Linked DNA regions of Ovis aries. The protein of the gene in region 1 purifies or fractionates together with the protein of each later gene. This does not show direct contact. Links are inferred from orthologs where the notes say so. Each region holds a gene or a part of one and is shown on either strand. Other genes may lie near its edges. The genes, in order: RAB27B and SYTL4.

Evidence for each region.
Region 2: the proteins of RAB27B (region 1) and SYTL4 purify together in Homo sapiens (co-immunoprecipitation; 3 studies listed by BioGRID and IntAct, counting the BioPlex papers as one, with this or other methods). This does not show direct contact. The link is inferred for Ovis aries from reciprocal best matches to the Homo sapiens genes RAB27B and SYTL4.

What each region holds. Positions count from the first base shown.
Region 1 is NC_056076.1:54,601,921-54,605,744, forward strand, and holds part of RAB27B (ras-related protein Rab-27B), read left to right. Parts: intron 1-1,091; coding exon 1,092-1,215; intron 1,216-2,751; coding exon 2,752-2,941; 3' UTR 2,942-3,824. UniProt on the Homo sapiens protein: Small GTPase which cycles between active GTP-bound and inactive GDP-bound states. In its active state, binds to a variety of effector proteins to regulate homeostasis of late endocytic pathway, including endosomal positioning, maturation and secretion.
Region 2 is NC_056080.1:132,467,969-132,471,792, reverse strand, and holds part of SYTL4 (synaptotagmin-like protein 4), read left to right. Parts: intron 1-1,207; coding exon 1,208-1,386; intron 1,387-1,679; coding exon 1,680-1,782; intron 1,783-2,302; coding exon 2,303-2,464; intron 2,465-3,824. UniProt on the Homo sapiens protein: Modulates exocytosis of dense-core granules and secretion of hormones in the pancreas and the pituitary. Interacts with vesicles containing negatively charged phospholipids in a Ca(2+)-independent manner.

The DNA.
Region 1 (3,824 bases):
TTCCTTCCTCCCTCCCTTCCTTCTCCTCCCCACCACCTTCTTTTGGAAAATAGAGAAAAACAAATAACCTGTCCTAATATTGTTTCTACATGAATTTCTGGTGGTTCAGAAACGCTCTGCCCTTATGAATCATTACCTTGGCTTTCAGGAAAGAAAAATGTAGCAGCCTCCTGAAGGAAAGAGCAGACAGCCCCTATACTTGAAGGGGCTTCCTGGGTGCCATTAGTGGCGAAGAAACCGCCTGCAGGAGACATAGGAGACACGGGTGTCCAACCCCTGGGAGGGGGGCAAGATCCCCTAAAGAAGAGGTGGCAGCCCACTCCAGTCTTCTTGCCTGGAGAATCCCATGGACAGAGGAGCCTGGCAGGCTACAGTCCAGAGGGTCGCAGAGAGTCAGACACGACTGAAGTGGCTTAGCACACACACACATATACTTTAAGACCATGTTTCCTTATCTTCACTTATATTTGAAGAATAAATGCACTGAAAAGCAGTATATTCAACTCAGGTGAACATTCCCGGATGTTCATTTCCACGGGGTGTAGTAAGAATCCTCCTGCCAATGCAGGAGACATAGGAGACACAGGTTCAATCCCTGGGATGAGACGATCCCCTGGAGAAGGAAGTGGCACCCTGCTCCAGTATGCTTGCCTGGAGAATCCCATGGACAGAGGAGCCTGGCAGGCTATAGTCCGTGGGGTCTCGAAGGGTTGGACATGGCTGAGCACACATCACCTCATCTGTGATGGCTGAGCACACATCACCTCATCTGTGATGGCTGATCACACTGCACCTCATCTGTGCTCATCTCAGAGGACATTTCCCCAGATGCAGAAGCTCACGGACAGGTATTCACACAGGTGCTTTATATACACTCTTACTAGTCTTCACAGCCTGCCACCTGTGAGGCAGTATCTCCACTTTCTAGATGAGGAAACTGTGGCTGGGAAGAGTTAAGCACCTGGGCTAATTTAACTCGTAAACAGTCAAGCTGGAGGTGAACAATTCAATTAGGACCCTGAAGTATGAGCAGTCTTTTGACATCACTTGTTTATAACTAACTTGCTGGTTCCATCTGTTTTCTTTCCAAGGCCAACTGCAAGCAAATGCTTATTGTGAAAACCCAGATATAGTATTAATTGGCAACAAGGCGGACCTGCCAGACCAGAGGGAAGTCAATGAACGGCAAGCCCGGGACCTGGCTGAAAAATACAGGTAAGTCAGCTATGTGGAAATATCCTCTGACCTCACACACTGCTGCTTAGTTAGGGGGCAAGGTCATGAGACTGATATTCGGAGGGATCCCCTTGATTAAGGAGTGACAGATGAATGAAAAAGATCTCCCAGAGGAATATATGTGATGCTTTTAATGAAACTATTCAACATTAATAACCACTCACATTTACTGAATGCTTATTGTGTGTTAGCAACTATTCCTAGACTTTAATTTATCTAACCCTTGTAATTATATATATGAGATTTAGGGCTATTCCATTTGATATATGAGGAATTGAGACACAGAGAAGCTGAGTAACTTATGGAAGGCCACATAGCTGGTGAGTAGTAGAGCTTGAATTCAATCCAGGCTGTCTGAAATCAGAGCCCATTCTTTTGAATATTGTATTCTACAGCCTCTCAGTAGCTACAAAACTCTAAGGAATAATACCTGACCTGGATGTAATACTGCAATTTTTATCCTGAAAGTGAAAGTGTGAGTCACTCAGTCTTATCTGACTCTTTGCGACCCCATGAACTGTGGCCTGCCAGACTCCTTTGTCCATGGAATTCTCCAGGCAAGAATACTGGAGTGGGTTGCCATTCCCCTCTCCAGGAGGTCTTTCTGACCCAGGGATTGAACCTAGGTCTCATGCATTGCAGGCAGATTCTTTACCATTTGAGCCACCAGGGAAGCCCAATTATTATTATCCTAGCTAGCTTAAATGTCAGAGTAAAAAACGTTTTTAAACACCCCAAGTAGTTAGAAACTGACTCCCAAGGCAGAAATTGTCATTCTTTTTCAAATTTAAGTACTTTGCCAAATGTGACAGTTCTGTACCTCCTTGAGAGTTTTACAAATAAATGTACATGTCTTCTTGAAACTTTGGATTCTAAATAAATGTAGATTGTATTCACATGAATATCCTATGCAATGCCTGCCTAATTTCTAAATCAGACTTCTTGATAATTGATTGGAGAGAAGTAATTGTTTAATAGGCTTCCCTGGTGGCTCAGATGGTAAAGAACCTGCCCTGCAATGTGGGAGACCTGGGTTCGATCCCTGGGTCAGGAAATCCCCTGGAGAAGGGAATGGCAACCCACTCCAGTATTCTTGCCTGGAGAATCCCAGACAGAGGAGGCTGGTGGGTTATAGTTCATGGGGTTGCAAAGAGTCAGACACGACTGAGGGACTAACACACTAATAGTTTAATGGCAACATTGATCACTAGTCTGGCATATTTGCCCTCTTCATTTTTAAAAAGTCAGTGGTGAGGCTTGGCTTCAAGTACCTGAGCACCTCTTATAGCAGTTTCCTTGCCTGTAATGCTGGTTACACCCACATGAAAAAGCAACTCACCAGTTTTCACTCACTGAGCAAAACCAAGGATGTTTTCCAACTCAGCCAGCAAAATCGTGATTATTTCACAATCTCTCAGCCAGCCGTGTTTTCGCACGTGTGACTCACTGGCACATCTTGTTGTATCTTTTCTGGTTCCTTCCTTGCAAAAATATTTGTCATCTCTTCCATGCTAGCATACCATATTTTGAAACAAGTGCAGCGACTGGCCAGGATGTGGAAAAAGCTGTGGAAACCCTGCTGGACTTAATAATGAAACGGATGGAGCAGTGTGTAGAGAAGACCCACATCCCCGACACGGTCAATGGGAGCAGCTCTGGAAAGCTGGATGGGGAGAAGTCAGCAGAGAAGAAATGTGCCTGTTAGACTTTACCCCAGGCTCTGATCATCCAGAACCCCAGGCAAACGTCACTTCCAAAAAGAGCGACAAACCCCACCATTGTTGTTGAGTAAACCATGTATAACGGCATGTCTTTCTTTTCCTGCCAGAAATTTTAAAAAACCTGACTAGTCAGCAGTGTTCAGAAGAGTTGACCAGTAATCCCTGAAGCCCCTCCAAACAAGATCAAAGATTTCCCAGGGTCATCATACCATCATGGGTACTCAGTTTGTTTTTTCATAAAGAAGATGAACATATAAAAGAGTATAGAAGAACAGATATCAGTGGGTTTTCCATCAGAACCAAAATTACCTTGTCACACTGGGGACAAGAATAGGTTTCTGAAGGGAGAACACAGAAGGATGACTTTTTTTTAAAGGTTGAATTTACTTGTTATATAGAATCTGATTTGGACTTTTAGGTTTGCATTGAGGGGGACATATTAGCTAAAAGTGCATACACAAAAAGAATTCTAAGTGGTTCATTTAGAGTGACATTACTATGTATATCCTATAAGCTGTGCTAGAATGACAACATTGCTGATAAGGTTACGAGAGGATGAATGTCAGACATCTGAGAATATGTAGGAAACTGTGTAATCATGCCATTTGTATATTCTTAATAAATGGCAGATAGACAAGAATAGGACTGTGAATGGCAGAGGACAAGAAAAAGGCCCAGAGAGAGAGATGAAGGTATGGGAAAAGGCATTTGGGCAGCTGAAATTAAACGTGTCTCTTACAGATGTCTGGGAGAGTTACTTAGCCAAATTTCAATCAAGCCAATTGGAAGCTGATGTTATCGGTTGGCATTAAGAGAGTGCCCAGAGGTTTCCATTTCCAGCACAGTTTTAGAAATTGGTCTAATGTT
Region 2 (3,824 bases), on another chromosome or scaffold:
ACTATACCAATCAGAATCATAAAGTTAAAGGGACATTTAAGAATCAGGGCCTAGTTCTGCCATTAAGTATGAAGACTGATGTTTAGGGGAAACAGAGTCAGAAAGCAGGGTGAATAGATGATCACACTCACACACAGGAAGAGAACGGTAGGCTTGCAGAGTTGATTATTAGCTGAGAGGAACGTAGCTTTTCACCTCTGGTGGGGTTTTCCCTCCAAATATGACACAGTCACTTTTCTCTATAGGCCTTTAGAGGGATAAGGTGGAGAAAAGAAAACCACAGATAATTAACGCCCCTTGTTTTAATTGGTAACTGATCCCTTCCAACCAACATGGTAACATACATAGTATACACCAAAATCAGACTCAGCTGCACGCTGCCTCCTTGCCCACCTTCTGGGGCAGTTGAAATTTAACAATAAAAATGTATAAAAAGAGAATAAGCAGAACAGCTCAGAGCCCAGGTGAGCTGATTGATAAACCTGAGCAGTTGTAAGCAGTTGTGAGTGTGCTGTTAGCTGTCTCTTACATTCTGGCTACAAGACCATTGGCAGTACTGGTTAGTTGCAGGGGCTTTTGTTTTGTTTAGTGACTATGACTTTCTCATGAGTGAAAACATGAGCAATGTAGCAGGGAGAGCATGCCTTCACCACATGTTTATGGGTGCTTTATCTTGTTTATTTCTTCCAGTTTTATTGAGATATAACTGATATACAGCACTGTGTAAGGTGTACTGCACAATGATTTGACTTACATACATTTTGAAATGGTTACCACAATAAGTTTGGGAACATCCATCATCTTATATAGATACAAAATTAAAGAAATAGAGTTTTTTTCCTCGTGATGAGAACTCTTAGTATTTGCTCTCTTAACCACTTTAATATATATAACACACAGCAGTGTTAATTATACTGTGTGTGTGTGTGTATCATGTTGTGTATTATATCCCAAGCACTTATTTATCTTATAACTGGGAGTTTGTACCTTTTGACCACTTTCATATAATTCCCCCTCCCCAGACCCCTTGCCTCTTATAACAACAAATCTGCTATCTTTTTCTATGAGTTTTGTTTGTGTTTGAAGTATAATTGACCTATAACACTATGTTAGTTCCTGTTATACAACATAATGATTTTTATAAGTTTACAAATGCTCCCCATGATAAGTCTAGTTACCACCTGTTATGTGGGTGCTTTATCTTCAGAGTACGATTGGCAGCATGATGAGCATCTATAGTGAAGCCGGTGATTTCGGGAACATCTTTGTGACCGGAAAGATTGCCTTTTCTCTGAAGTACGAGCAGCAAACACAGGCTCTGGTCATTCACGTGAAGGAGTGCCAACAGTTGGCCTTTGCTGATGAAGCCAAGAAGCGCTCAAATCCGTGAGTGCTTCTGGACCCTGCACAGTGCTTGGAGATGATCAGACCCCAGCATCTCTCTGGGCACCCTTGAACCAAAGCTCTCACTTCCTGGGCAGACGGGGAGGTGTGATTGAGAGTGGTTAGGGGAGATGTGGGAAAGGGGCCAGGATTAGGAAAATCCAAGAATGGTGTGTAGAGGAGGGCTTGATGTGATATTTTCATTTCATCATGGCATGTGTGTATGGAGGGCAGGGAAGTGAGAAGCAGGTTGCCATAAAGACAGCCAATGACTCAGTATTCTCCTTGGCTTCTAGATATGTGAAGGCTTATCTTCTGCCAGACAAATCCCGCCAAGGAAAAAGAAAAACCAGCATCAAGCAGGACACTATTAATCCGTTATATGATGAGATCCTCAGAGTAAGTATCTAGAGTCTGAGAGGATAGGAGAACTTGTTCTGTCTTGTGTGCTGAGCTGTAGCAATTCCTCTACTATATGGCTGGTCAACATGGTTTTCAGTGGCCATGTCTCTGTTTGAGGATACACTGTGGGCATCTGTTCACATCCTGACCTCTCAGCAAACAAAGCTGATTTGATTTTCTTGGATTCTGGTGAAGTTGGAGGGCCACGTGGTCGCAAATCTCATTTTAAGGGGTCGTTTGGGATCAGGAGTCTCCCTGGCAGTTCTTTTGCATATTCCAGTGTTCTCTCACTCACTGAAGGAAAAATTTATATCCCAGGTCCTCCCCTGGAGTATGGTAGGTTTTTGTGAAATGGGATAAGTAAAGGCTTTGAGGGATGAAGCTCAAAGTGCTTAGGGACTAAAGTGATTCGATCAGGACTATGGACTTTGTGTATGCTTGCTCAGATTTTGGAATAATCTTTTTCTGAGGAATTACTGTGAACTAATCATCTTGGGTATCTCCTTTCCTTTCACAGTATGAAATCCCAGAATCTCTGTTGGCCCAGAGAACTTTGCAATTCTCGGTGTGGCATCATGGTCGTTTTGGCAGAAACACTTTTCTTGGAGAGGCAGAGGTCCAGATGGATTCCTGGAAGCTTGATAAGAAACTGGATCATTGTCTCCCCTTACATGGAAAGGTAGGCTGCTTTAACAACTCCTTACAGAGCTTACATCTGAGGTCGAATTATCTGCAGAGACTTATGCAGGAACAGTTTTGATTGTAGTTTGTGGAACTCTTGCGCCCCCTGCTGGGGCTTCCTAGTTTAACAGTAATTTCAGATGCTCTTGGACGGCAAGTGTCAGTCATCTCTTCTGTTACAAGCCAGGTGAACGATGAAGCCATGGTTCCCCTTTGAAGTCTTTCATATATATGTGTGTCAAGCTTTGCTTCCTAATCTTCCAGAGTCTGGGTGTATCCTAACATCCTGACTTGTGCCTTTTCTCCAAGCTAACCTTTTGGATGTATCCTAATCTGTGCTGGTTTCCCAAACTACCCTTTTCACTACAGAAATGGGAAGTAAACCAATTTATGGAGCTCCACTTCCCGTGCTCATTGTCATACAAGCCAGGGGAAGTATTACTTTGAGATGGAATTGCAGGGGAGAGTGTAGCAGAGGGTGTCATATTACCTGGGATCTGAGTGTGGACCTGGATTTGAATCCAGACACTGTGATTTAACAGCTAGGTAAATTACTTAACTTAAAAACTAACTTAGGTAAGTCACCTAAATTCTGTGGGCCTTAGTTTCTTCATCTATGAAGTGGAAATGATAATAATATTCTCTTCTGCAGGATCGTAGACAGAGTACCAATCAGTGCCTGGCACATAAAAGATGTTCAGTAGGTTATTGTCATTCTGGTTAAGATGAAATTGCTAAAACAGAGTTAGGATTTGCCTCTTTTTTTCTGTTAAAACTATGGTATACTATATCTAGTCCTTCTTTTGTGAGTGTAACTGTAGGAGAAATTTCTGGTGGTGGAATTGCTGAGTCAAAGGAAATGAACATTCAATATTTTGAAGCTATTGCCCTCCAAAAATATAGTAACAACATTAAAAATCTCCCTTTAAGTACTAATACAAATAGGAAAGCCAGTATAATAAAACTATAGCATATTATTAGAAATTTAGAATTTCTTAAGCATTTGGCATATAAGTCATTCTCTCAAGGGCCTACAGTTGATGCAGTTCTAATGGAAATGTCATTGTAAACCATCATGAACTAGTGCCAACAAAGAATGCTTTCCATCAAAAGGAAAACCTGCACTGAAATGGAACTGTTTGCTCTTTGAAATTATTTTGAGCCAGAATGAAAATATGCTCAAAATGAAACAAGTACGCCAATTATGCCAATTTCCAGCTAAGGTGAAGCTCACAATCTAGAGACTAACAAATTGTATAGATATTTTATAAACAACAGAAAGACCACTCCAGTATTGCATACTTATTTTAACTGAAAACATTCTCCATTTTTTGTCTCTGATTTTTCTTTTTTTTCTT